Callithrix jacchus: one gene and its partners. The protein of the gene in region 1 interacts with the protein of each later gene in a pairwise test. Links are inferred from orthologs where the notes say so. Each region holds a gene or a part of one and is shown in the gene's direction. Other genes may lie near its edges. The genes, in order: BNIPL, GFER and MIF.

Region 1 (9,784 bases):
GGCTTCTTTCTATTGACGCCTTTTGGGAATGAGGAGCAACAGGCTTCCGTCTCCTCATCCTCAGCCCCCTCAACTCGTCTGTTCTCCCAGAAACCCTATAACATATTCCATCTCCCCAGTTTTGCTTGTGCTTGAAAAGTAGGCCCGAGATAACAGTCTTAGGAACACAGTGATTTCTCCTGGCTTTTTGCTTGTTTGTTTGTGTAAAGAGCAACTTCGAGAAGGGTATAAGGAGTCTGAAAAAGAGAACAAATTGCTTTCCTAGACTCACCAAGACTGCTCCCCCTAGAAAATGCACTCTCAGGCCGGGCACGGTGGCTCATGCCTGTAATCCCAGCACTTTTGGAGGCTGAGGCAGGTGGATCACGAGGTCAAGAGATCGAGACCATCCTGCTCAACATGGTGAAACCCCGTCTCTACTAAAAATACAAAAAATTAGCTGGGCATGGTGGCACGCGCCTGTAATCCCAGCTACTCAGGAGGCTGAGGCAGGAGAATTGCCCGAACCTAGGAGGCGGAGGTTGCGGTGAGCCGAGATCGTGCCATTGCACTCCAGCCTGGGTAACAAGAGCGAAACTCTGTCTCAAAAAAAAAAAAAAAACAAAAAGAAAATGCACTCTCCTCCCCAAAGCCCGCCCCCTCACAGGAGGGAGCGTTTTTCTTTTGGGCAAACCTGCTCCTTGGGAGAGGAGGTGGCAAAACCTGTTTGAAGATGAGGTTACCTCCCTTCCACACCTCCCTCCTTGGAGGCCGGAACTACCTCAGCTGACACAAAAAAGGTAAAGAAGTCTTGGGGGCTGGGATACCCAGCTCCCCAACAACTTTCAGGTGTTTAAAGAAGAAGACAGGAAGACCTGTGAAGATGGGAACCATACAAGAGGCAGGAAAAAAGACCTTAGATGTTGGGTAAGTAAGATCTTGGCTCACTTGATTAGAAACAGAATAAACAGTCCTCAGAGACTCTCACCACCCAGCTCTTACTGGGTCAAATCTCAGGTTCCTCAAGGAGACAAGACTCTTAGAGAATTTGCAGAGAAGGGATGAGGGTGGTTTTAGGTAGGAAATGTCAGGATGGTGTGGAAATAGGGAACAGGGGAATCCAGGATAAATCCCTGGTTTAAAAATAAAGGAAGTGGCCGGGAGTGGTGGCTCAAGCCTGTAATCCCAGCACTTTGGGAGGCCGAGGCGGGTGGATCACGAGGTCAACAGATCGAGACCATCCTGGTCAACATGGTGAAACCCCATCTCTACTAAAAATAAAAAAATTAGCTGGGCATGGTGGCGCACGCCTGTAGTCCCAGCTGCTCAGGAGGCTGAGGCAGGAGAATTGCCTGAACCCAGAAGGCAGAGGTTGCAGTGAGCGGAGATCGCGCCATTGCGCTCCAGCCTGCGTAACAACAGCGAAACTCCGTCTCAAAAAAAATAAAAAACAAAAATAAAATAAAGGAAGTTTCTGTAACATGTTGTATCTGATAAATCTGCCTGTGTTCTTTATTCTCTAACCCTCACCCTCCAGAATGACCATCAGGAAAGCTGAACCAGAACTGACTTTAGGTCCAGGGTCTCGTTCCCGGCACATCTTTCTTCTTACCTTTTTTCCCCACACCTCCACCTAGGCTGTGTTTTCCCTTAGCCACACCCCAGCACGGTGGAGGAAAGGCAGGCCTGACTAGCTGCCGTCTTGCCCAACTTTGCTCAGTGATAGTTGGGTGGGTGTAGCTGGGTTCCAGCCAATTGTAATGTGGGACATCTCTCACCCCCACTTCATAGGTGGAGCAAGTTCTGTAGAGGTAAATATGACTAACTTTATATTCCATCCGCCCTCTGCTCCCAAACCCATCAGTAGGCAATCTAGTAAGTGGTGACAGTGAAAGAAATACCTTTGTAGGAGGCAAGAGATCTGAGTGCCTTTGAAGGCCTACTCTCTGCTCTCTGTCTCAATTACTGTTCTTCATCATTCCAATTCTTCTTACCTACTTTCAGTTCCCTTACTCTTTTCTTCTTGGGGGTCTGTCTTAGGGTCAGGGAGAGTGGAGAAGCAGCAGAACTAGGAGCAGCCCTGAGACGTGGGGAATTGGAGCTGAAGGAGGAATGGCAGGATGAAGAATTCCCTAGGTGAGATCGTGTGAGGGCGGCTGGGAGAAGGAAGGGATGGGCAGCTCACGCCTGTAATCCCAGCAGTTTGGGAGGCCGAGGCGGGTGGATCACCTGAGGTCAGGAGTTTGAGACAAGGCTGACCAACATGATGAAATCCCATCTCTACTAAAAATACAAAATTAGCCAGGCGTGGTGGCGCATGCCTGTTGTCCCAGCTTCTTTGGAGGCTGAGGCAGGAGGATTGCTTGAACTCGGGAGGCAGAGGTTGCAGTGAGCTGAGATTGCACCATTGTACTCCAACCTGTGCAACAAGAGTGAAACTCTGTCTCAAAAACAACAAAACCAGCCCAGGCGTGGTGGCTCACGCCTGTAATCCCAGCACTTTGGGAGGCTGAGGCAGGTGGATCACGAAGTCAAGAGATCGAGACCATCCTGGTCAACATGGTGAAACCCCGCCTCTACTAAAAATACAAAAAATTAGCTGGGCATGGTGGCGCATGCCTGTAATCCCAGCTACTCAGGAGGCCGAGGCAGGAGAATTGCCTGAACCCAGGAGGCGGAGGTTGCAGTGAGCCGAGATTGCGCCATTGCACTCCAGCCTGGGTAACTAGAGCGAAACTCCGTCTCAAAAAAAAAAAACAACAACAAAACCAAACGCACAAAAAAACAAACAAATGGATGCAAGGATGGTGAATTAGGACTTGAAGTAAAAAAATTCTAAAAAGGAAAACAGGCCAGGCATAGTGGCTCATGCCTATAATCCCAGCATTTTGGGAGGCCAAGGCAGGTGGATCACTTGAGCTCAGAAGTTCAAGACTACTCTGGGCAACATGGCAAAAACCCATCTCTACCAAAATACAAAATTTAGCCAGGCATGGTAGTGCACGCCTGTAGTCCCAGCTACTTGGGAGGCTGAGGTGGGAGGATCACTAGAGCCCTGGAGGTAGAGGCTGCAGTGAGCCATGATTGTGCCACTGCATTCTAGCCTGGGCAAAGAGTGAGACCCTATCTCAAAAACAATAAAAAAAGAAAGCAGATGTGGTAAAATCATGGCCAGGAGAGAGAAACTATATACTGAGTCCCAGCTTGATGCCTTTGGTGTATATCTCTGCCCCCTTTTAATCTCTTTCCCTCTAGATTGCTTCCTGAGGAGGTTGGACCTTCTGAAGATCCTGAAGAGCCTAAAGGAGACTCACAGGCAGGTAGGTCAAATAGAAACCAGGCCTCAAGTTCTTTTTTCTTTTTTCTTTCTTTTTTTATTTTTGAGACAGTCTCGCTCTATCGCCAGGCTGGAGTGCAATGGCACAATCCCAGCTCACTGCAACTTCCGTTTTCCGGTTTCAAGTAATTCTCCTGCCTCAGCCTCCGGAGTAGCTGGGACTACAGGCACGGACCACCATGCCTGGCTAATTTTTTTTGTATTTTTTTAGTAGAGACGGGGTTTCATCATGTTGGTCAGAGTGGTCTCAATCTCTTGACCTCATGATCCACCCGCCTCGGACTCCTAAAGTGCTGGGATTACAGGCATGAGCCACCGCACCCGGCCTCAAGTACTTGATTCTAGTCCAGTGAAGGCCTGTGCCACCTCTGTCCCCTTACAGTTCCGTTTCTCCCTTTCCCAAATGTCCCCTGTGTCCATCTTCAGAGTTCACCCCCTATTATCACTGTCACATACAAAGAATTCTAGCCCTCTTGGCCCCCAACACACACGTCCATCTGGGTCCTCTTTTTCCTCCTTTCTCCAACCGCAGGTACCCCCCTCACTTTAGCCCTGTGTGGCCAGCGCCCCATGCGGAAGCGTCTTTCTGCCCCAGAGTTGCGACTGAGTCTGACTAAGGGGCCTGGAAATGATGGAGTTTCGCCCACCCAATCTGCACCTTCCTCTCCTGATGGGAGTTCTGACCTGGAAGTAGACGAATTAGAGACACCTTCAGACTCGGAGCAGCTGGACAGTGGACATGAATTTGAATGGGAAGGTGGGAAGCAAACCAGAGGACCCAGAGCTGGTAGAAGTAGAGGCTAGCACTAAAGGATCAGGATGGACTTAATGGGACTGCAGTTAGAACTAATCAAGTGGGGAGAGCACCGGGCGCGGTGGCTCACGCCTGTAATCCCAGCACTTTGGGAGGCAGAGGCAGGCGGATCAGGAGGTCAACAGATCAAGACCATCCTGGCCAACATGGTGAAACCCCGTCTCTACTAAAAATACAAAAATTAGCTGGGCATGGTGGCACGTGCCTGTAATCCCAGCTACTTGGGAGGCTGAGGCAGGAGAATTGCTTGAACCCAGGAAGCGGAGGTTGCAGTGAGCTGAGATCGTGCCACTACACTCCAGCCTGGCACCTGGTGACGGAGTGAAACTCTGTCTCAAAAAAAAAAAAAAAAGGTGGGGACCAAGAGCTACCGTCAGCAAAATTAGTTTCCTCAAATGAAAGAGTAGGGCTTATAGGTCCAAAGTGAGAGTAGTCATAGAAGGAGAGGGGAGCCCTTGGTTTATTAAGGAAAATTTAATTGAATGCCTGCTATATACTATCATGTATAGGACTGGGGTTATAAAGATGAATAAGAGAGGCCCTACAGGGAATTATCTGCTTAGTAGGAAATAAACATATATACAAATAATTGCAGTTAAAGGTTATGATCTATATATGTATAGGGTACAGTGTAGGCAGGGAGAAGGAAAAGGTCACTTCTGCCTGAGAGATGTTAGGAAAGGCTTTGTGAAGGAGGTGATTCTGAGCTGAGTGTTGAAAGCTGAAGCTGGCCAGGCATGGTGGCTCACTCCTGTAACCCCAGCACTTTGGGAGGCCAAGGCGGGTGGATCACTAGGTCAGGAGTTTGAGACCAGCCTGACCAACATGGTGAAACCCCATCTCTACTGAAAATACAAAAATTAGCCAGGCATTGTGGCACACGCCTATAATCCCAGCTACTCAGGAGGCTGTGACAGGAGAATTGCTTGAACCCAGGAGGCGGAGGTTGCAGTGAGCCGAGATCACATCACTGCACTCCAACCTGGGTGATAGAGCGAGACTCCATCTCCAAAAAAAAAAAAAAAAGAAAGCTGAGGCTGGTGGTTATCAGGTAGTTGAAGACAGGGCATTCTAAGTAGAAGAAGCAGAAGAAACAAAGCAATACTATGGCATGTTGGGGAATTCAAAGTATGAAGCATGACGATTTTAATATGAAGGGCTGGGAGGTGAAGAGAGAATGACAAAAGATAGTGCTGCTATCTTTTGCTAGGGTTAAGTAGGCGAAGGTCAAACCATGGAAGCCCTTGCTGCCATGCTGAGGAGTTTAGGTTTTATCTTTTTTTTTTTGAGATGGAGTTTCGCTCTTGTTACCCAGGCTGGAGTGCAATGGCGCGATCTCGGCTCACCACAACCTCCGCCTCCTGGGTTCAGGCAATTCTCCTGCCTCAGCCTCCTGAGTAGCTGGGATTACAGGCACTCACCACCATGCCCAGCTAATTTTTTATAGTTTTAGTAGAGATGGGGTTTCACCATGTTGACCATGATGGTCTCGATCTCTTGACCTTATGATCCACCCGCCTCAGCCTCCCAAAGTGCTGGGATTACAGGCTTGAGCCACCGCGCCCGGCCAATTTTATTATTTTTGTCGCCCAGGCTGTTCTCAAACTCCTGGCTTCAAGCAATCCTTCTGTCTTGGCTTCCCAAAGTGCTGGGATTACAGGCATGAGCCACTGAGCACAGCCTTGAGTTCCCTTTTAGATCTGGTGACTTGTTAATGACAAGGAGACACACAGTGAAGACATACACTCTGGGCATTTAGGGATGCTCGAGTTAGGGCAGCAGCTGGGGTTAGAGGCTGGGCACAGTGGCTCCTGCCTGTAATCCCAGCACTTTGGGAAGCCAAGGCAGGTGGATTGCTTTGAGCTTAGGAATTCAAGAACAGAGTGGCATGGCGAAACCCTGTTTAAAAAAAAAAAAAAAAAATTAGCTGGGCATGGTGGTGTGTGCCTGTGTCCCAGCTTCACAAAAACCTGAGACTGAAGAATCACTTAAGCCCAGGAAGGGGAGGTTGCAGTGAGCTGAGATTGCACCACTGTATTCCAGCCTGGGCAAAAGAGTGAGACTGCCTCAAAGGAAAAAAAAAAGAAGCCTGGGTTAGAGAGGCAAATTTGGGAGTCATTTCCTTACTGGTGGAATTAAAGACATGGGACTAGATGAACTGATCTAGGGAAAATCATTTAAAGAAAGAATCTCAAAAGGCCAGGTGCAGCGGCTCATGCCTGTAATCCCAGCACTTTGGAAGGCCAAGGCGGGTAGATCACCTGAGGCCAGGAGTTTGAGACCAGCCTGGCCAACATGGTGAACCTCCATTTCTACTAAAAATGCACAAATTAGCTGGACGTGGTGGCAGCTGCCTGTAATCTCAGCTACTCGGGAGGCTGAGGCAGGAGAAATGCTTGAACCCGGGAGATGGAGGTTGCAGTGAGCCAAGATCTCACCATTGCACTCCAGCCTGGGCAACAAAGGGAGACTGTCTACATACATACATACATACATACATACATACATACATACATACAATAACCAGACTATTAGAAATAAAAGGCATAACTTTAAAAAAATAAAAAAAGACTCAAAAAATACCTGATACTGCTAAGGGTCATAGTGCAGGGTCATCCAAAGTCCATCATCGGCCGGGCGCAGTGGCTCACGCCTGTAATCCCAGAACTTTGGGAGGCCAAGGCAGGTAGATCACGAGGTCAAGAGATCGAAACCATCCTGGTCAACAAACTCCGTCTCTACTAAAAATACAAAAATTAGCTGGGCGTGGTGGCACGCGCCTGTAGTCCCAGCTACTCGGGAGGCTGAGGCAGGAGAATTGCCTGAACCCAGGAGGCGGAGGTTGCAGTGAGCCGAGATCGCACCATTGCACACCAGCCTGGGTAACAACAGTGAAACTCTGTCTCAGAAAAAAACAGCAACAAAAAGAAACAAAGTCCATCATCTAGTGAAAAGGTGAGGATAGTGAGTCACAGGAGAAAGAAACCAGCAAGATATTGGGCTGATTGGGCAAAACAGGGCTAAAGAGTCAAGGAAAAGGCCGAGTATGGTGGCTCACGCCTGTAATCCCAGCACTTTGGGAGGCTGAGGTGGACAGATGGCTTGAGCTCAGGAATTTGACACCAGCCTGGGCAACATGGTACAACTCTGTCTCTACCAAAACATTAGCGGAGCGTGGTAGCGTGTGCCTATGGTTCCAGCTACTCAGGAGGCTGAGGTGGGAGGATCACTTGAGCCTGGGAGGCAGAAGTTGCAGTGAGCCATGATTGTGCCACTGCACTCCAACCTGGGTGACAGAGTGAGACTCCATCTCAAAAACAAAAAAAAATGAATCAAGGAAATAATCAAGGAGTGACAGATTAGAGTAACAAACTAGGAATCTGAGGAAGTTACAAGAAACTGAAGGCAGGAAATCTACCTTGCTGATCCTTCCCCAACCCTCTCTTTTAGATGAGTTACCCCGGGCAGACGGTCTGGGCGCCAGTGAGGCAGCTGAAAGGCTGGGCCAAGGCTGTATGTGGGATGTGGCTGGAGAAGATGGACATCACTGGAGGGTTTTCCGAATGGGACCACGGGAGCAGCGTGTGGACATGACTGTCATTGAACCCTATAAGAAAGTCCTGTCTCATGGAGGTAATGGCTAGCATAAACAGAGGGGTAAGAGCTATGGCTTTTTTTTTGAGACAGAGTTTCACTCTTGTTTCTCAGGCTGGAGTGCAATAGCGGGATCTCGGCTCACCGCAACCTCCATCTCCTGGGTTCAAGCAATTCTCCTGCCTCAGCCTCCTGAGTAGCTGGGACTACAGGCATGCGCCACCATGCCCAGCTAATTTTTTGTATTTTTAGTAGAGATGGGGTTTCACCATATTGAGCAGGATGGTCTTGATGTCTTGACCTCATGATCCACCCATCTTGGCCTCCCAAAGTGCTGGGATTATAGGCGTGAGCCACCAGGCCCGGCCGAGCTATGGCTTCTTAAATAAAATGCCTAAGCTGGAGACTCAGTCATTGATCCAAAATCTATCCTGTAGCTTCCAGAGACCCTCAGAGTCCCTCAACTTAAACAGATGTACTATCTGTCAATACATATTTGTTGACTAAATGAATTTTCGCCTTACACTCTCCAGGTTACCACGGTGATGGCCTCAATGCTGTCATCCTTTTTGCTTCCTGTTATCTACCCAGAAGCAGTGTCCCCAACTACACCTACATCATGGAACACCTGTTTAGGTGAGGAGGGAGGCCTGAAGAGCTACAGGGCCGTGTTAGCGGGGCGGGGGGCACCGAAGTGAAAAAGAACTCCTTCAAAGATCAGTAGCTAGTTGGAGAGTCTATAGTAACGTTCCCTGTCGCTCCTGCAACTCTCAGCACATATTTTCCCTGCAATTTCATCCGCCCAGGTATATGGTGGGAACGCTGGAGCTGCTAGTAGCTGAAAATTACCTGCTTGTTCATTTGAGTGGAGGCACAAGCAGGGCCCAAGTTCCACCTCTGAGCTGGATACGCCAGTGTTACCGCACCCTGGATCGGCGGTGAGACCTGGGACGAGAAGGCTACAACTCTCGCTCTCTCATTGTTTTTCCCACCTTTCCATTCTTTCTTCTTCCATTTAGTCCCTTCCTGTTTTCTTTATCCTACGTTCTTTTCCCAGCTTTTTTGTTTTCTGTCCTCTCTTGGAGTCAGAGATTTAGTTTCAAATCCTGCCATTATCCACATTACCATTTACTAGCTGTCTGGCTTTGGACAAGTCACTTAACATCTCTGGGCTTCAGCTTTTTTGTTTTGTGTGTGCATGCGTGTGTGTGCGTGTGTGTGTGCGCGCGTGTGTATGTGTGTTTTGAGACAGGGTCTGGCTTTGGACAAGTCACTTAACCTCTCTGGGCTTCAGCTTCTTTTTTGTTTTGTGTGTGTGTGCATGCGTGTGTGTGTGCACGCGCGTGTGTGTGCGCGCGTGCATGTGTGTGTGTGTGTGTGTGTTTTGAGACAGGGTCTGGCTCTGTCATCCAGACTGGAGTACAGCAGCACAATCTCGGCTCATTGCCACCTCTGCCTCCCAGGCTCAAGTGATCCTCCCACCTCAAGCCTCCCAAGTAGCTGGGACTACAGGCATCGGCTACCATGCCCGGCTAACTTTTGTATTTTTTGTAGAGATGGAGTTTTGCCACTTTTCCCAGGCTTGTCTCAAACTCCTGATCTCAAGCAATCTGCCCACCTCCCGAAGTGCTGGGATTACAGGCATGAGCCACTGCCCCTGGCCGCTTCAGCTTCTTCATCTGTAAAATGGCAATGATTATACGTTTGCCACTGGGTATTTGTGAAAATCGAGTAAATTAGTGTGGCATATTGCCTGGCACACAGAAAGCACTCTTCCTCTTCTCTCTCAGTCTTGCCATTTATTTCCTGTTCCACACCTCCATTGTCTTCTTCTCGGACTTCGTCACTGACCTACGTGTCTCCTCTGTTGCCCAGGCTGCAGTGCAGTGGCGTGATCTTGGCTCACTGCAACCTCTGCCTCCCTGGCTCAAGTCATCCTCCCACCTTGGCCTCCCAAGTAGCTTGGACCACAGGTGTGCACCACCACCACGCCTAGCTAATTTTTCTATCCTTTTCTGTTAGAGACAGGGTTTTGCCATGTTTCTCAGGCCAGTCTTAAA
Region 2 (10,540 bases), on another chromosome or scaffold:
ACTCAGATCTTGAGGCTCCCTGGTGTCCAGGGGCAGAGAGGCAAGTCCCTGGGTTCTTGGCGGGCCCTACCTGAGGGGTGCCTCAGCAGCACATCCAGGCTCTCCTGGGCCTGCACCTGGAAAGGCCGGTCCCGTGTGTCCTGAGTGCAGAAGGACTGTAGGCAGCGCAGGCTTTGAGCCTCCAGACTGTGGATGGAGAGGCGGCCGGCAGCACGGGAGAGAGGTGGCTCCGGGTTGGGCAGGATCACCCGGCTGGGAAGAGCAGCCCGCACGGGTGAGAGGTAGGTAGATTCCAAGGTGAAACTAGGCGTGCCACACAACCCCAGCAAGACCGCCAGCCTCCTAGTTTCTGCTGCTCTTCACTGGCTATAACCCCCACCTTAGACCTCCTCCCAGCTCCAAACGCTGCTGCAGGCTGGGAGTTGGGGGCGAGTCAGGTACCTGCCGGGTGGCAGTGCGGGCTCCAGGTCCAGAGGTTGCGGTGCAAAGAAGTCTGTGATCACTGGGCTCCGAGCCACGCGCTCTGCAGTTGCCAGCAGCCTCCGAGAATAGGTTTCCAGCAGCTGCAGGCGTGCCAGGCCGCGGCTCGTGCGCCCCCTGTGTGTCAATAGCGGTGCATCTAAGGACACCACAAAAAACGTACACTGAGACCCCGCTTCGGGCTTCACTGGTCCCTTGAGCCACACCCCCCACCCCCAGTAAGCCACCGCCTTCCCTGTCCCCGGCCCCAGGCTGGCCTGACCGAGAAGCTTTGGGAGAATGCGGTCGGATTTCCGAAGCAGGCCTGCCTCCACCGGAAAGGTCTCCTTGAGGTTCTTCTGAGGGCAAGAACCGGGGCATCAGTCTCCCAGAGCCCACTGTGCACCCTTAGGAGGGTGGGGTCCCTCACCCTGATGGCAAGGGCTGGGAGCCTCAGGCAGGATGAAGGGCCTCCAGTTAGTCACTGACAGGTCTTGCACTGGTAGGCACCCAGGTGGGGAAGCCTCAAGCATGGCGTTAGGGTGGCCCAGGGTCACTCACCTTGAGCCGCCTGAATTCCTCCCAGCTCCTGCACACAAAGGTGTCGCTGCCGTCTGACCATCGCACGGAGAAGGCAAATGTCTAGGGGACGTAAAGTCATGGGTGCCTTGGAGATGCTGACGGAGGCACCCCCTTCCTATGCCTTAGGGCCACTAAAGACGCAGCCAAGTCTTACTTGGAGCCTCTTGATCTGCACCAGAGCCGCCCCTCGCACTGAATCCGGGTATCGGGGGCCTGCCATGGCTGCGGGCTTCAGGCTGCAGAGTCCTGAAATACTGGGTAAGGATTCCTCTGCCTCCCTGTGCTCCAGAGGGCTCTGGGGCACCTAGGAACCTGGCTGCCTGGGACAGAAGCCTGTAGGGTCCTTGTGGGGCTGCCCCAGCTGAGTTCTTTCCAGCTTTCTTGCTGTCTCCCAAGCCCAAGATCTGGGAACGGTAGCACAGGGATTGGGGAACTTCCAGGCAGAGCTGCTAGGAGGAAGAATGAGCGTCCTGGCCCTAGAGGCGTGCAAGACTAAGGGGCAGAGGGTGGGAGGAACTGCTGCCTGGGGCCCTCCTGCCTGACTCTGGCCAAGGGAGGAGGGAGGAGAAGGCGGGGCCCATCAAAATGCCACCAGTCCTGCCCACCTCTCTGGATTCCCCCACCTTGCAAGGTACTTGGCCTGGTATGACCTTCTGCCAGCGTGTGCCCAACAACTGTCTTAGAACTGGCCCGGGGATTTCTGTGCAGAACCGAGGACTCAGTGCTCAAGGCTTTAAGTGCTCTGTCTGGCTTAATCCTAATGCTGGAGGAAAGGCCTCTTCATGTCCCCAGCTCACAGAGGAGGAAATGTGAGCTAAATGTATAATTATTGTGAGTTTTTCTGTATATGTTGGGGGAGGGGCAGACCTCACAGGCTCACCCCAGGGGTTCCCCTGCAGTGAGGAGACTTGGGGTAAGAGAAAGACGGCCCATGTGTATAGTCCCTGGCACTTGAGGGGTGAGGGGTGGTCAGGGAAGTGGTCACCAGGACTGTTTTGAGAGCCACCTCTCAAACAGACCTCCTGCAAACACCGCCTAGTCAGAGGCTTGCCCAGGTGCCACACCTCTCTGGCTGCTTCCTTATAGCTTCAGAAGCCACATTCAACCTCGGTACACAGTGGTTCTTCCTGGTGCTGGAGTCACCAGTTCTGTGTTGGGATGCCCCCACTCCAGCCCCTTCAGGGAGCGGTCGGCCTCTGGGGCATCCCTGCAGCAATCTGCCTTGGCTGCAACAAAGGGCCTTTGTGTGTGTGTCACCAGCACTCTCTGAGGCCCTCCAGTTGTCCCTGGTCTTGGCACGGACTAAGAACACCTGCTCACATAGGGCTGATTTGCAGGGCTCCCCCAGCCAGCTCTCATCTCCTCCCTATCTCAGCTGAGGGCCCCAAGGACCTGGCGGTGAATCAACCCAGGGCAGACTTTGCTCTCCTGGAAGACAGTAGAGAAGCTAGGGAGAATTTATTCACAAGCAGTGGCCTAGAGGAATTCTGAGGCCCCTCCACACCCCAGCTGACACAGCCTGCCCCACACCGCATCGGCCCTGGATCCTTCCCGCTTTTTTTTTTTTTTTTTTTGAGACGGAGTTTCGCTCTTGTTACCCAGGCTGGAGTGCAATGGCGCGATCTCGGCTCACTGCAACCTCCGCCTCCTGGGTTCAGGCAATTCTCCTGCCTCAGCCTCCTGAGTAGCTGGGATTACAGGCACGCGCCACCATGCCCAGCTAATTTTTTGTATTTTTAGTGGAGACGGGGTTTCACCATGTTGACCAGGATGGTCTCGATCTCTTGACCTTGTGATCCACCCGCCTCGGCCTCCCAAAGTGCTGGGATTACAGGCTTGAGCCACCGCGCCCGGCCCCTTCCCGCTTTTTCCTCTCCTACCCTCTTTTCTTACCGGAATGGTACAACCACCCCACCCTCCATCCATATCCTCCTCACTTGTTCCCACAAAATCCACCCCAAGGTCGGGTTTGGTGCCTCTCACCTGTAATCCAAGCACTTTAGGAATCCAAGGCGGGGGAACTGCTTGAGCTCAGGAGACCAGTCTGGGCAACATGGTGAGACCTCCATCTGTACCAAAAAATATATACAAAAATTAGCTGGGTGTGGTGGCACGTGCCAGTAGTCCCAGCTATTTGGGGAGTTGAGGTGGGAAGATCACGAGCCTAAGCAGTCGAGACTGTAGTGAACCATGATTGTGCCATTGCACTCCAGCCTGGGGAACAGAGCAGGACCCTACCAGAAGAAAGAAAAGAGAAAGAAGGAAGGAAGGGGGAAGGAAAGAAAGAAGGGAAGGAAGGAAAAGAAAAGAGAAAAATCCACTCTCTGTAAGAAAGAAAGAAATCTAAAGAAATGCACTCCTTGTATAATAGCCAGAGGAATTTTCAGCAAACTGAAATGGGATCGGATTGGGTGGCCTTGCCCAAAACTGACTGGCATCTTCCCCTCCCTTGGAATAAATTCCCAATCCCCGCAGCTGCTGACCAGGTCCTTGATGGGCCCACTGGCCTTTTTTGTTCCTGCAAAACGCCAAGACCCTGCCACCTTGAGCTTGGTCTTTTTTTTTTTTTTTTTGAGACGGAGTTTCGCTCGTTACCCAGGCTGAAGTGCAATGGCGTGACCTCGGCTCACCGCAAACTCCGCCTTCTGGGTTCAAGCAATTCTCCTGCCTCAGCCTCCCGAGTAGCTGGGACGACAGGCGTGCGCCACCAGGCCCAGCTAATGAGCTTGGTCTTAAAGGCGCTCCTCAGCTGATTCCTCATCCTTCAGGCCTCTGCCCAAGGGTCACCACCTCAAGGAGGCCTTCCAGATTTACCCCACCCTTGCACGGCCCCACCAGTTTGTACGGGAACATTCACGAGCGTGACTCGTTTTCCCCCCCCGCCCCCCCATCTTGACCACTGAATTATGAACAGAGGAGATCAGGCAGCAGAGCTCTGTTCCCTGCACTGCCCAGCGCCTGGAACAGCGCCTGGAGCAGAGAGGCCACTGCACAAATAATAGCGTAAAGGACGAATGAAAGCAAGGAGGCAGAGGAATCCCAGAGGTGGCTCCAACTGGGAGCCCGACCCCTCATTCGGGCCGTGGGACCGGCGGCAGCTGGGGGCGCGCCGAGAGCCAGAGGCTCTCAAACCCTCGGCAGCCGCGCCCCGTCCCGCGTTGCCAGGCGCCCGTTGCCATGGCGCCGGGGCGAGGCCGCGAGCCCAGCACTCTGTGCGGTCACGCCGGCCCCGCATTGCCAGGGTTCCCAGCACCCGGCGGGTGGACGCGCCCCTCAGCGGAGGGCACAGCGTGGCCGCGGACACGCAGGACGCTCAGAACGGAGCGATGGGGGCGTCGCGGGTCGCGACACGTACTTCGTCTGGGCCTCAGCCCAGGTCCACAGCATGGCCGCGGCGCACCTTCCGCCACACTCTGCTGTTCTACCCGAGGAGGCGAGAGCGCCGCCACGGACTGCGCAAACCCGCCGCGGGTCGCGGAGCGCCCGGATGCTCCAGCTCCGTCCCCTCCCAGGTCGGCGCCGCGGTCTGTGGCTCCGCCTCCACCCGGGTCCGCTGGCCGGCCCCCGCCCCCAGCCCTCGCTCAGGCCCGGCCCCCGCCTCCGACCCCGCCCCCAGCCCTCGTTCGGGCCCGGCCCCCGCCTCCGACTCCGCCCCCAGCCCTCGCTCAGGCCCGGCCCCCGCCTCCGACCCCGCCCCCAGCCCTCGCTCAGGCCCGGCCCCCGCCTCCGACTCCGCCCCCAGCCCTCGCTCGGGCCCGGCCCCCGCCCCCAGCCCTCGCTCGGGCCCGGCCCCCGCCTCCGACTCCGCCCCAGCCCTCGCTCAGGCCCGGCCCCCGCCTCCGACTCCGCCCCCAGCCCTCGCTCGGGCCCGGCCCCCGCCTCCGACCCCGCCCCCAGCCCTCGCTCAGGCCCGGCCCCCGCCTCCGACCCCGCCCCCAGCCCTCGCTCGGGCCCGGCCCCCGCCTCCGACCCCGCCCCCAGCCCTCGCTCGGGCCCGGCCCCCGCCTCCGACCCCGCCCCCAGCCCTCGCTCGGGCCCGGCCCCCGCCTCCGACTCCGCCCCCAGCCCTCGCTCGGGCCCGGCCCCCTCGAGCACGGCGCGCGCCTCCCGCTGGTATTTTCGCACGCTGGCCTGGAGGCCGACCTGGAGGCTCATCTGGAGGCCGAGCTAGCCCGGCAGACCTTGCGCGGGCAACATGGCGGCGCCCGGCGAGCGGGGCCGCTTCTATAGCGGGAACTACTTCTTCTTGCCCGGTGGCGCGCGCTCCGAAGTGATAGACGACCTGGCTACCGACGCACGGGGCCGGGGAGCGGGGCGGAGAGACGCGGCTGAGAGGTCAGCCCCGACGCCAGCCCAGGCGCCGACCTCCGAGTCTCAGGTCACCGAGGACGTCTCCCGGAGGCGGCCTTGCCGGGCCTGCGTGGACTTCAAGACGTGGATGCGGACGCAGCAGAAGGTGCAGATCCCTGCCCGACCTCCCCCAACCCCGCGCAGCCCCCGCCCAGGTGCCCCGGCAGAGCTCCCCAGGGTTGCCTTTCCCTGAACCTTGTCCCCCAGTTAGGTCCGGCCCTACAGGCATCATCTGCGTTTGGGCTGGATCGTCTGCAGGACGCTGGCCGGAGTCCACTGGGCCACCGGCTGGGCCGTGCAAGGGGGGAGCTTTGGGCGCTTCTGTTCGGAGAATGAACTCACTCTCGGTCGGCCTTCCGCAGCAGGACAGCAAATTTAGGGAGGACTGCCCGCCGGATCGCGAGGAACTGGGCCGCCACAGCTGGGCTGTCCTCCACACCCTGGCCGCCTACTACCCCGACCTGCCCACCCCAGAACAGCAGCAAGACATGGCCCAGTTCATACATTTATTTTCCAAGTTTTATCCCTGTGAGGAGTGTGCTGAAGACCTAAGGAAAAGGTAAGATGCGTTGGCAGGCATCAGAGCTTTACCCTGGAGCCTGGGCCTGGGGCTCCTGACTGACGCTATACCGGGGAACCTAGAGAAACCTGCAGAGGTGGCAGAAGCTTGCTGGGGAGCAGGGACCACCAACAGGTGAGGACAGAGGCTATCTGAGCCTCCTCCTCTTGTCTGAGGCCAAGCTGCCAGGATTTGCTGCTGGGAACTGCTCTCCCACGGCCACAGGTCTCCCAGGAAGGGCCTCCCTGCCTTGTTTGGCACCAAAGGCAGCTCCCCGCAGGTTAGGGAGGACTCCACTTTGCCTGACTTCTAGACTGCTGTTTTAAAATCTTGGAAACCCACTACTTTTGCTCCCAAGAGCCACCTCTTCCTCACTGAGGCATCCAAGAGCCAGAACTGGCCCTTGCAGGTGTTTCTAGGCCAGATGTGTGGGGCAGAGCTGCCATTGTAGCTTTCAGCCTGGGCAGTCAGAATGAGGTCTCTTGCTGACTGAGGCATCAGAGCCTCAGGTCCTAAGAATCAAGTCCAGTTTTCAGTTACAAGGCTGTGTCCAGCCCCACCCAGTTCACACTCTGCCTGGGGCCAGGGACACTAGATGCCGCCTCCTGGGTGTTAGGAGCTTGTAAAATTGCTAGGTCTGTGCTGTAATATTTTTCTTTGAGGCCCTGTCGGTGTTTCAGCAGCCCTGGGAATTTGCCACACCCAAGGAGCTGAAGGGTCAGGCCTGTTGTGGGAATTCCCATCCCTTGGAGCATGAGGGCACTCCGAGGTGAAGCCCAGAGCAGTGGCCCAGCTCTCCGTCCTTGGGAGCAGACAGAGCTGGCAGGGGTAGTGGAGCCGCTGCGTCCTCCCATTCTTCACATGCTCTCCCTACGCAGGCTGTGCAGGAACCAGCCAGACACCCGCACCCGGGCATGCTTCACGCAGTGGCTGTGCCACCTGCACAATGAGGTGAACCGCAAGCTGGGCAAGCCTGACTTTGACTGCTCAAAAGTGGATGAGCGCTGGCGTGACGGCTGGAAGGATGGCTCCTGTGACTAGAGGCTGGTCAGCCAGAGCCCATGGGACAGCCAGCCAGTGCCCTTGCAGTAGCCTGGCTGCATAGGGGCAGGGCACTCATTAAAGTGCATCAGGCTCAGAGCCTGTTATGTCTCAGTTGAGTGGTCCCAGGACACTGCCCGGGGGGCCCTGCCCCTCTCAGGTTTGGAACAGAGAGGCACCCACAGCAGGCACCTGCTGGCCGCCTCTTCAGTAGAGCCCCCAAGGAGCAGCAGCTGAACTGCAGGTGAGCGAGGCCGGAGGAGCCTGGGCTGCTCCTTGCCATTCAGGATGTGGCTTCCTGCTCTCCCCATGCCCTGGTGCCTCACTTCTCACACAGGAAGACTGGGCCTGGCTGGGCGACCCCATGCCTGTCCCTGGAGCCCAGGCCATTGCCTACCCACTGTGCAGCCAGGGATGCCCGCAGGCCCCTGCCCCCCATGGCTCTGTGCTGCTCACTTCATGGGCTGAACTCTCCACTGTGCTCAGTCCCTACAGGAAAGCTCAGGTGGGGTTTGTCTGAGGGTCCACCATCCTGCCCACTCCCTGCCTGGCTCATGCCTGCCAGCGTTGTGCCATGCCTGTCCACAGGGGATTTGTGCTGTCCCCTTCTTCAAAGTTTGAGGTCCAAATAAAACATTGAAGTGACTGAGGACCTTGGCTTTGTGTGCTTTGTGCTAGGGCCTGTAGCAGTGCACGGGGCCTGCTCTGTCCTTCTGTGTTCAGCTGCATTTCCTGCTGGGGTCCTGGTTCCTCAGGAGGAAAGGGAGGAACCCCAAGGTGAGAGAGGGCCGGGAACAGCAAGGACGCTGGTTGGTTGGGGAAGTGGGGGCCAGAATCAATGATACGGGGGTTCGAGGAGTACAGGGAGGCCAGACAGCATGAGGCCTCCCAGGCCCCAGAAAGGCCATGGCTTTTACCCCCAGCTCTTGTGACAGTAGGTTCTTGGCGGGTTTGGAGCCAGGGTATGGCAGGAAGTGATGTGGCTTTGAAGGGTCCTCTGGCTGCTGAGCTGGGATGAGGCAGGCAAGGGTGGAGCAGGGAGGCTGGCGAGGAAGCTGGAGCAATCACTGAGTGACCCCAGAGAGCAGACTTACCTCATGTTGGGGCTGACGTGGGGTCCACCGAGGGGAGAGTCTGAGAATGCTCAGGTGAGGATGGAGTCCTCAGAGACTGCTGGGCACAGCTGTGTGTGCTGGAGACAGAAAAGGCTATGAGTGCAGTGAGTAGGGGGTGACGGGGACCAGCTTTTGGGCCTCCCCAGCCAGAGCAGCCCAGCAACAGTGTCTCTTGTGGCTTAAAGCTCTAGGGACCTCTATCCTGAGGCCTGTGTGGAGGGAGCTGCCATATCACCCACCAGATTGGTCCTGCGGGGTTGCTGGCTTCTGTAGAGACTGCCCCGGGGGCCAAGTGGCACAAATGAGAGAAAGGAGATGGGGCTCTGCCAGGAGAGAAAGTGCCCTTTCCTCACCCAGACTCAGTGCTTCTCTCTGGCCTTTTTCGAGGCCTATGAGTGCCTCAGGAACAAGCCGGGTCCTCTGGTGAGGCTGTGGTCAGCTCAGGAACGCACTGCCTGTATCTGCTGTCCTTCCTAGCTGCCTTACTTTTCCCCTGTCTTTCTTGAAGTTTCACTCCCAAATAAAACTCTTCACTTTGACTCAGAGGCTGTTGAGGGCATCCAGGCCAGTGGAACTGAAATTCAAGGAAAGGTTCTAGCTCAAGCTAGTGTTCCAGAGCTGTTGACACACAGACCAGAAGAGTCAGCACAGAGGGAGGAGAGACCCCCCCCCAACCACCACCAGGGTCAAGCCCTGGGCTCCTAAGGCTCACAGGTTACAGAGGAGAGGCCCATGAGGTAGGAGGAGCACCAGGAGGGAGGAGGATCTCCAGGTGGGGTGCAATGGCTCACATCTGTAATCCCAGCACTTTGGAAAGCCAAGGTGGGCAGGTCACTTAAGGTCAGGAGTTAGAGCACAGCCTGGCAAAACCAAAATTAAAAATATTTTTTAAAATTAGCCAGGCACGGTGGCATGCCTGTAATCCCAGCCACTCCAGAGGCTGAGGCAGAAGCATCACTTGAGCCTCTGAGGCAAAGGTTGTGCAGTCTTGAGCCAAGATTGAGCCACTGCACTCCAGCCTGGGTGACAGTGCAACTCTGTCTCAAAAGAAAAACTGAGCTGACAGCAGCATCAGACTTGCCCTTGGGATTGGCACGGAGAGGTCAGTGGCAGCCTTGAGTTTAGGTGGTGGTGGGAGCTGATTCTGCCGGGTCTCAGAGGGAGAGAGGAGGGGTGGTGCAGGCAGAGAATAGAAGACTCAAGCTTGCTGCTCATAACTGCGGGCAGCTGGAGGGGAGGGAGGTGGGGTCAATAGTGTGGCTTTTTAGGAGAAAGTGTAGCATGTCTGCGTGCTGATGTAAAAAGGAAAATGAATGACAGAGGGGAGGCCTGGGGCCAGTGGGTGAGACAGTCGGGATCAGACGCACAGTAGATGGATTTGAAATCCAGTGAGTGGCGCCTCTGGCAACAGCTGCTCTGCCCGACTGTGCCCAGCCTGACTGAAGAAAGAGCTCCACACCAGAACCAATGGGCTCCAGGGGGGCTGGGCAAGGCGGCACCATGTACACCAGGTTGTCGTAGCAGGCAGGTGGGCTGTTTACCTGTCTGAAGAACAGGGTGGTAACAGACTCTGCCTCCACAGGTGACGCACCTGGTGGTGTAAATGCTCAGTCAGTGCAGACATCTCAATGCTCTAGACAGAAACCTAAGAGTCATCTGAACTTCCAGCCCAGCAGGAACATGAGGGGAGGGACCCTGTTGCACCCAGGGCTGGGGTCTGGAGGGGACCCAGCAGGGCACAGGACAGCCAGGCACTGACCCCATCCAACTGCTGGTCTCTGATGCCTCTCCCTGCCCTCGATTCCAGACTAGGTGCTGCAAGTGCCCTAGGGAGACCCAGAAGTAGGGAGGGCATTGGGAGCGCCAGCACCTGGCCACGGGCAAGGAGCAGACACATAAAAACCAACACTCTCATTGGCGATGGCCACGGTGGTCCTCCTCATCCCTCAACAGGTGCTCCTGGGGTGGAGGCCTTTCTTGCCACCAGACTCTCCCAGCCCAAGGCTAGAACCTGCTGAAGGACCAGCTAGAGCACTGTGGGGGGCCATGGGAAAGATCCCAGTTGCCCATCTGGTCTTCCTGGGACCAGGGCCAGGGAGCCAGTCCCCTCTCCCGACGGTTGGGAGAAGATGCTGGAGCCCGTGGACCTCCTACTCCTTCATTTTCTCACCCAAGGGCCCTTCGCAGAGGAGCGGGTTCCTTTTCCTGTCTGTCCTCCCGGCTATGGCAAAGTCTGCACCCAGCGCCCTTGCCCCCTTACTCCGGGGATCTGGTTGGCGGGTTCCTGAGGATGGTCTCAATCTCAAGATCCCGGCAGGCAGGTGCCGGTGGGGGATGGGAGGTGGGCGCGGCGGAGAGAGAGGACGGCCCTGGCCCCGCGCGCGTGGACCCAGTGAGGGGCACGGGCTCGGCCCCGCCCCGTCCCGCGCGCCCC
Region 3 (8,994 bases), on another chromosome or scaffold:
CGAGCAATTTGTAAGAGAAGATTGAACCCAGGAAAGTAGGCCACCCCATTTTGGGTGGAAGCGTGGCCTGATCACCCATGGGTGCCAGATCAGCACGTCAAAAGGTAGTTCTCTCTGTAACCTTAGAAGCTTTTGCTTATACTTTATCCCTTTCTGCCAGCAGTGTGTCAGTCAGGGTTACAATTTCTTTACATCCTTATCCACACTCATTTTCTATTTTTTTTTCCAGTGGAGTATACAAACTTTATTCTACAAGCAACAAGGGCATAATACATGTTTTTAAAATAACCTTTACTTTTAAAAATTTAAGTACATTAGAGGAAACTGAAAAACACAAGAAGCAAAGAACAAAGTCACAATCACAAGCAGTTTATAGTTTGACACATTATTCTAGGTCCTGTGCGTCTGCAGGCACAATATCCACTTTTATGGGACTGAGATTGTATAGTATGTGTAAGGCCGGTTGCCTTGCCGAGAGTCAAACGGACACATTCATCACTCTCCACGCCTGATAAGCGTCATCACCCGAGCTCATTATCTGGTTTTGCTACATGGCTTCCCCGCACCTGCCTCTGCATACCATACCCAAGTCCACACTCAGCACTAAATTATGCATCCAACCTCCAGCCCACTGTTAAAAAAACGCTGCAGAAAATTTTTAAAGAAGCCCCACCATACCCTGCCCGACAACAGCCTGTCCTGTACGCACCGGGCAGGCCTGCCCACCCAAGGTCCCGCTCGCCTACCAATGACAGCTAGTTTCATGTACTTCCTACTTTAACTCCATGTACTTCCTGCTCCTCAACAGCCAATAGAAATGCCTTCTCTTTGTTTCCCCAATAGCCAATCAATTGCCTGCCCTCCCCATAAACCCCCACACCCTGAACAGCCAGGCGCGACTTCTTTGGCCCCACCCTGGACCACAGAACCTCGCCTGGGAGCTGAATAAATTAGCTTCTCACTTTCTTATACTTGCCTCAGTTTCCTCATTTTGCCTCAGCAATAAATAAATCTCACAGTATGTATCATGATTTTTTACACATCATGAATATTTACCAATTCAAAATCCCAAAGCTATAGGAGCATTTTGATAACCAAAAATACACTACACCAACTCCGTCTGTTAAAAAAAATGTAACCCTGTCTTTTTTGGGATGAAAATTTCATAGAATATAAATATGGCAACATGCCTCTAGATAAACCATTGGCAGAGTTCTGATTTAAATACTGCATTCCCTTAATGCTCAACTTAAAATGAAGCATACAGCAACAGAATACACTAAGTATAATGCTTCTAAGAGAGCTCATTAGGAGATCTATACCATTAAAATATTAGTAAGGTATATTTCCATTGATTTAATATATTCCTAGAGTACAGCCACAAGAGATGCATACATTAATGGCTGTCATAAAAATGTAAACATGGACACATCTGCATACATCTCTCCTTTTATAGTTCCTTACCCTTCTGTCAACTATATAGACAATAGTGAGGAATAAAATGCACACAAAACAATGGCTAGAATATGAAAATGTCTTCTAAATATGACCAGTCTAGCATAGAACCTTCTCCTCCTTCTCAGCTCTTTCAGCTCATGTCATCTAATCAACTCAGCAAACGTAGATGTATCACTTCCAGAGCCATCTAACAACTCTGAATTTCCAAAAGCCATCTCCAGAAGACATGTATTTTCTATGATTTCTTTTAAACAAATGAGAATCTACAAGATGTGTGGTTTTCTAACTCTACTTTATCATACGTCGGCAACCTCTTTACATCTAGAAGGGCTAGATGTGACAAATGTTTTCTATTAAAATGTTGGCATGCAGTTGAGAGCAACTTTTTCATCTTATATACACAAGCCTTCCATAAATGGCCAGTGAATCTTCCCAGAGGGTGGTGGGCATTTGCAACGGGCCAAACGTGGCCTGTCATTCTGCTGTTTCTCTCTTCGGACAGAAAGGTCTGGTAGAATGAAGACTCACCGCCCCCCCACCCATGGCTGCTAACCATTCCACCTGTCGACGTTCAGAACTTCGCTTACCTCCCAGGCCTGTTAAGGCCTTTGTCTGTTGTCACGACTAGGTAGGTCTCGCCCAGTGAAGACAGAGTGGTCACTGGGGACCCGGATCTGCATGGCTCTGTGGCCTAAAGAGGCGGCCAAGCCTGCCTGCATCCTTAGGCCACCTTCCCAGGCCCTCTACTACCTAACAGCCTCCACTGTGCAGCATTCGAGCGGCCACCGTGTTTCCTGGCTCGCCACTCCTGCCGCCACCCAAAGGCGTTGCATCCTGGCAGCTCAGCTGGGACTTCGTAGAGGCCAAGCATACTTGGGCTGGGAGACCCAATGGCCAGCAGGGTCCAGGCTGGGGTATGGGCTGGGAGAAGCCGCCACCACCATCAGTCACCGAAGACGGGTGGGGTAGAGAGGCTTGCCACAGCTTCAAGGCCTGGGCCTGGCAAAGCCAGTGGGCACCCACAGTGGAGGCCTCCAGTGTCTGAAGGGCAGAGGATACTGCCTGTCCCGGGACCCCCCAGCTCACCCACCAGCCAGGGGCCGGAGGACCTGGAGGGCCCAGGGTGAGCTCGCTGTGCACTACATCTCCCCGCACTCTCTGCGGAACTGGAACTCCCATATTCATTTCCTTTCAAATCATCCTAGCAGGTGTATATTGGCATCTACTTGTGCTTTTCATTTGCATTTCCCTAATGACTAATCATGCTGAGCAGCTTTTCCTGTGCGATTGTCTGTGTGTGTATCTTCCTTAGGGAAATATATGTTCAAGTCTTTTGCCCATTTTTAAGGAGTTGTCTGATTTTTATTTAGTTTGTTGTAGATTTGGGGAGTTTTAAAATATATTCTAAATTTTAGTCTCTTACAAGATAAATGATTTGTGAATATTTCCCCCATCTGAAATTTAGATGGGCCTTGAGTCATATAAGTCATAAAAAGGTAGGAGTGGGGGCGATCTGGAAATTCCTGTTATAATCTTTTTAAGGGAATCTACTGGAAACACTTCATATTTTAAATAGAACCATCCCTTACTTAGCACTAGAATATCAAGCCTTCAGAGTCTTGCTCTGTCACCCAGGCTGGAGTGCAGTGGTGCAATCTCAGCTCACTGCAACCTCTGCCTCCCAGGTTCACGTGATTCTCCTGCCTCAGCCTCCTGAGTAGCTGGGATTACAGGTGAGCACCACCACGCCTGGCTAATTTTGTATTTTTAGTAGAGACAGGGTTTTTCCATACTGATCTCAAATTCCTGACCTCGTGATCCACCTGCCTTGGCCTCCCAAATGCTGGGATTACAGGTGTGAGCCACCGCGCCTGCTGCCATTCATTGTTTAACAGAACTTAACATTGTTTAACAGAATATAATTCAAATATCATAAATGTCACCCACATACAGTGTACAATTCAATGGTTTCTAATATATTCACAGAGGTCTGCAAAAATTACAATTTTAGACATTAATATCATTTATTAACATTCTTATATGCATACAGATGTAGATATGATTTTAATATAATCTTGAATATTATAGTATTTAATAATGTACTTTAATATCTCTTTATATTGCTGTTCTATTTTATTATTCTGAATGATGATGATCTTCATGTACCTTTACATAGGTTTAAAATAAACCTCTTACAACTCAAGAAATTTGTTTCTAGTAAATCACATAAAAAACACATATGCTATTGTTATAAAAATTCAAATACTGCTTAGGTCTATAGAATGAAATGTGTCGCCACCAGCTCCCAGCCCACTCATCCACATGCACTTACCGAAAGACATGCCCATATTTTTACATAATGTAATTCCGCTTTGTGTGTTGTTCCGACTGGCTTTCCCATATAAAATATAATTTGGTGGTCATTGCTTATCAGTACATACAGGTCTCTTTCTGATCTATAGCTGCATCATTATTCAACATTATTACCAAAATTTGGTCACTTTTTCACTGTGTAATTTTAATGTTGGATTCAGTTATTTGTTATCGTTACCCACACTGAACCTGGTCTGGACCTCACTTCCCTCCCTTTGGTGACTCCCAGCATCCTCACCCTCTTTGAAGAGCAGGAGTTCAGGTTAAGTTCCCTGAATGGTGACTCGCAGGGGCAGCTCTCCTCTCACCTGCAGCAATGACTACCCCTCCCCATCTCAAACACACAAGCTCAGGCGTGCGGGACTGGAGCCCTTGGGGACGTGTGGCCGGAAGATTCAGGACGTACAGGGCTCAGGGCGTGCAGTGGAATGAACTGGGCTTCATCTCTGGAAGGGGAAGGGGAAGGGGCCATCTTCCGGGTTCACCGCCGCATCCCCACCCCTGGCACAGCGCCTCCTGGCGACTAACATCGGTGACTTATTGAAAGTGTGATATAGCTAGCCTAGAGTTAGAACTTGTACACTGCCAGTTTATAAAGGACAAAACTGTTTCCATTCTCCTCACAATGACTGCTAGCCATGGCCTCTGTAAACTGCTAAGTTTACTTTGCAAAATGTAAAGAGAGGTAAAGTTGCATACTTTCTCTTATCTGTAACTGCCAGAATTGCTGGCCTCTGTTTACCGGTACTAACCAGAGTAAGCACCCCCAGATAATTCCATCCTGGCGCCAAGCAACTGAAAAATCTGTGGACCCCACACCTGTCCAAATAATGTATAAACTAATGTTTATCTTAACTTCTGTAAACCTCTTAAGCGGCAATCGGAATGACAAAAGTCCCCTGGCCCTTGGAATGTCCAGAGCCCCCTCACCCTAGTCTAAGCCTAGGAGGTGATTGACAGCTGTCATTCCCATCTCCACTCCTCACCCCCACTCCCAAGGTGGTTTTGCGGGTATAAAAAGATCTTGTCACCCTTCTTTCTCTGCCAAGGGTTGGAGAGACGTGAGTCCTCCGTGGTCGCCGGCAATAAACCCTGCAATTTGGCATACTTTTGTCTTGGTGTTGACTTTTTGTGCTCAGTCGGATACAACAAAAGTACTAAGAAAGACCAGAGGCCAGGCTGGGAGAAGCCGATTTCGAGCCGCCACGTGGAGATCCGCTAGGGACGATGAGCCCGGCCTAGCGGTAGTCGCTGGAAGAGCCGTCGGAGTCGCTCACGGTTAGGTCCCGCAGGGCGGAGCTGAGGCAGGCGGTGACGTCTCCACTCGGGGCGGAGCCGAGGTAGGCGGTGACGTCTCCACTCGGGGCGGAGCCGCAGCTTCGCTGGGAGGAGGCCTGGCGCCGGCGGTGACGTCCCAAAAGGCGGAACCGTATCCGAGAATTCAGGCACGTAGCTCAGCGCGGCAGCGGTGCTTGCGTCTGTGTCCCTGCGCGAATCTCCTGGTCTCTCTGCCATCATGCCGATGTTCATCGTAAACACCAACGTGCCCCGGGCTTCTGTGCCGGACGGGTTCCTCTCCGAGCTCACCCAACAGCTGGCGCAGGCCACCGGCAAGCCGCCCCAGGTTAGTTGGGAGGGTACGGGAAGAGGGGGTGCCCACTGCACGAGGGGGTCCTGCACTGGGGGCTGGGGAGGCGAATCCCGAAGGGGGCTGCGGGACAGGGCGGGAGGAAGAGGTGGCTAGGGCCCAAAGTGGACGCCAGAGGCCTGGCGAGGTAGCTGAGGCTCGCTGACCGCGCCCCTCCTCCGCAGTACATCGCAGTGCACGTGGTCCCGGACCAGCTCATGGCCTTTGGCGGTTCCAGCGATCCGTGCGCGCTCTGCAGCCTGCACAGCATAGGCAAGATTGGCGGCGCGCAGAACCGCTCCTACAGCAAGTTGCTGTGTGGCCTGCTGGCCGAGCGCCTGCGCATCAGCCCGGACAGGTATGCTGGGGCGCGGAGGGGCCGCGGCGCGAGGGGCCAGTGGTGGTGGGGGTGGCGGCGGTGGTGCCGGGCCGGGGACTGAGCCGCCCGCTGAGTCTCGCCTCCTCCCCCTGCAGGGTCTACATCAACTATTACGACATGAACGCCTCAAACGTGGGCTGGAACAACTCGACCTTCGCCTAAGAGCCGCGCCCCGCCTCTCCCCGCGCTGTCTGCACTGGCCCAACCCGGGAACCCACCTCACCCTGTATTCTAGGCCCGCCCGCCTCCACCTTCTGGTGGGGAGAAATAAACGGTTAGAGAAAGTTTCTGCTGTTACGGTGGCTACATATTCACTCATGGAGGCATGACAGGGACATCTCACTTCCTCAGAGGCACGATTAATCCAAGGAATGCCGTGGGAGGGGAGGAGAGAGCAGGTGGCCTGTGCCTCCACTCAGGTCTTGAGAGAAGCAGGGTAGTCAGACTCCACTCACCTCCGCCTCCCAAAGTGCCAGGATTACAGGCGTGTGCAGCGGCGCCCAAACGTAACGGAAGGCTTTACAGATGTGTCTGGCAAACACGAATGGTCCCAGTGGAAACCCCACGCCTGATTTCCTCAGGGAACTGTTGTGGTGAGGCTTGGGTGGCTGAGGGGAACAGAACCTAGGCTCAGGGTTTGGGATGGACAGAACCTTATAACAAATAACTGCACCTCCCCACCCACCTGCCTGCAGACTCTCCTTACATTCCCTAAAACAGCTGTTTGCAGTGAGTGGCTCTGGGTGGGAGAATCTTTCTGTCCTCTGGCTACCTTTTGCCCACCAAGAAGGCTGAGGAAGGTGGGGCTGAAAGAAAGGTCTAGGCCTAGGACCTCAGACTCCTTCCCAACTCCAACTCCTCCTCCCCCTTTTCCAGCCTCCCCTCTGGCACCCCATGTGCTGACCCCTAGGTAGAAGGGATTCAACTGTGGGTTCCCGCCCAGAGTCGTGAATCTACCTCAGGCAGCAAAGTGCCTTAGGTACTGAGTCTGCAGCCCAGGGCAGGGTGCCAATTTCTCCTCATCTCTTCATACCCCAGAATGTGGAAACACACTGGGGCTTCCCTGTTGGGAGGTAGGAGGGACAGGCTGGACAAAAGGGCTATGAACCCAGCCCTGACCCCCACCCCCAACACCATTCCAGCCTGGCTCCCTGGTGTCCCAGCCCTGCACCAATTCCTCCCGAACACCAAGGAACCCTGAGGCACTCCTGAAACCTACAAAATGAGGTTCAAGGTCGGCTAGGCTGTCCATCCGTTGGAAACAGTGGCCCTGAGGGCAGTGAGGGTCACCCGTAAGGCAGGAGTCTTTATCAGCAGATGACACAGTGCCACCAGAGTGATGGAGAGCAAGGCCGAATTATAGGCCCCACACCTGTCTGTCCCACACCTTGAGGTTTTAAGTGTAACTTAGAAACACATTTACAAGGCTGACCCTGCAGGTCCCGGGGCAGTCAAATGGTGTAAAGAAGAGACCCCCCACCTGGTGGGTGGTGGAGCCCATGCTTCAGGCTTGAGGTTTCCTTCTGGGATGGAAGAACTGTGGTGTAAGAGGCACATTCTTCGGCCCTGGTCTTTGTCACATCCCCTGAGCTCCTGGGTCCCCCCAGCGCCAGCCTCCAAAGGCCTGAGGCTGAGTTTTGCCCAAGACCCACAGGTTCCCCCCACAACAACCTTTTTCCTCCCCTTCGGGCCCCACACCCCACCAAGCCTTAGCTGGTCCCCCAACCCCTACCCCACCTCAACAGTCTTCAGCTGTGCTGCCCATAGGGAGAGCAGGGGCATGGGGCCCCATGAGCATCTGGTCCAACTCCTTCATTTCACAGATGAGGACACTGACCCCAGGGTCCAGGGCATGGTCGTACACTCAATGTCATGACCCCTACAAGGGCCCTGTGGCCTCATATGAGCAAGTTGGAGTCTCTGAGGGCCAAAGAGTTGGGCAGGGCAGGCTGGGCACCTGCTGTGTGAGGGCAGGAGAGTTGGTGGGAGATCTGCCCTCCAAAAACTGGTGAGTGTCTGAGGTTCTGTGGCCCCCTAGGGGCATCCACGAGGTCGTGGCTCCTTGGACTTCAAGGACAAAGGGGATATCTATGTGGGTCAGGGGCCTACGTATCCACTCACCCTGCCCAAAGCGTTTCCAAGTCCCCTGGGGCTTACAACCGGCCTGCCTGCTGGAGAGGGCAGCTGCTGCATCCCACACCTGCCCCCATTGACCCCCATCCCATGGCCAGCCTTGATGGCAGTGGATATGGCGGTAGGGAAAGAGACAATGAGGAAGTGTGGTCAAGTATCTACTTAGAAGTCTCCAGATGGAGCCGGGAAGTGCTAGGAGGCCAGTGAGGCTGGTGTGTGCAGCCATCAAGCCGTATTTGGCCCCTGGTGGGATGCAACTGAAATGCGTTCCCAGTGAACCACTCCCCCCGAGCCCCACACTGAAGGGCTGGCTCTAACCACTAACAGGAGCTAGCAGGGCAGGCAATGGGACAACCCTATTGCCTCTAATGCAGTAGATTAAATTAACACAGGGCCAACCTTCATATCAGAGTGGTTTTCCAGTTACCTGGGAGAGATCAGCTGATCACTGGAGCTTGGGAGATTTCCAGGATTTCTGGGCCACTGACACTGTGTTTCCGTAAAGCCCTCTTCTGCCGTCTCAGTCCCTTTCCAGGCTGAGCAGTGGCAAAGCCAAGTCTTAGTCCTCTGGGCCCGGGCCTCCCTGCATGATTTCCAAGACTAATGTGGGGGACAATGTCAACCCACCAACCAACTGCCTAGATTTCCCCTCCTGGCGAGTGAGGCCAAGCCATTTCATTTCTGTGATTGAAGCCCATGTAAAAGAGACATAGATTGTCAGTTCCAGAAACTGACTCTGTCCCTTCAGCCCGGAACCTCAGCCCTCATCTGGTGACCATGGGGTCTGGACTCACAGTTTAGCCCCCAAAACAGCCAGATAGGGCACCAAACTGAAAGGTTACAAATGAGACGCCTCATCCTCCATGTCCCTCAGTGACTTGGCTTCTTGTGTACCTAGCTCTCTTCTCAGTTTAATAGGTAACAGATTTACATGGCTCAAATTTGAAGCATGCCGAAAGGCTCCAGAGAGAAGGCTCTGTCCTGTGGCCTCCCTCCACAGGATAATCTTCTCTCAAATTCACCA

The links.
Region 2: the proteins of BNIPL (region 1) and GFER interact in a two-hybrid assay, tested with the Homo sapiens proteins (2 studies listed by BioGRID and IntAct). The link is inferred for Callithrix jacchus from reciprocal best matches to the Homo sapiens genes BNIPL and GFER.
Region 3: the proteins of BNIPL (region 1) and MIF interact in a two-hybrid assay, tested with the Homo sapiens proteins (2 studies listed by BioGRID and IntAct). The link is inferred for Callithrix jacchus from reciprocal best matches to the Homo sapiens genes BNIPL and MIF.

The regions. Positions count from the first base shown.
Region 1 is NC_133519.1:10,937,113-10,946,896, forward strand, and holds the start of BNIPL (bcl-2/adenovirus E1B 19 kDa-interacting protein 2-like protein), read left to right. Parts: upstream 1-767; 5' UTR 768-862; coding exon 863-906; intron 907-2,019; coding exon 2,020-2,115; intron 2,116-3,234; coding exon 3,235-3,299; intron 3,300-3,848; coding exon 3,849-4,073; intron 4,074-7,580; coding exon 7,581-7,763; intron 7,764-8,257; coding exon 8,258-8,360; intron 8,361-8,530; coding exon 8,531-8,662; intron 8,663-9,784. UniProt on the Homo sapiens protein: May be a bridge molecule between BCL2 and ARHGAP1/CDC42 in promoting cell death.
Region 2 is NC_133513.1:4,760,146-4,770,685, reverse strand, and holds GFER (FAD-linked sulfhydryl oxidase ALR), read left to right. Parts: upstream 1-5,218; 5' UTR 5,219-5,236; coding exon 5,237-5,497; intron 5,498-5,753; coding exon 5,754-5,950; exon of another isoform or gene 5,951-6,828; coding exon 6,829-6,991; 3' UTR 6,992-7,641; downstream 7,642-10,540. Other genes in the region: NOXO1 (NADPH oxidase organizer 1), read right to left, coding at 71-252, 442-597, 743-818, 1,021-1,101, 1,196-1,287, 2,106-2,267, 3,025-3,110; uncharacterized protein LOC144578555, read right to left, coding at 8,637-8,680, 9,648-9,697.
Region 3 is NC_133502.1:192,625,943-192,634,936, reverse strand, and holds MIF (macrophage migration inhibitory factor), read left to right. Parts: upstream 1-5,254; 5' UTR 5,255-5,347; coding exon 5,348-5,455; intron 5,456-5,643; coding exon 5,644-5,816; intron 5,817-5,932; coding exon 5,933-5,999; 3' UTR 6,000-6,121; downstream 6,122-8,994.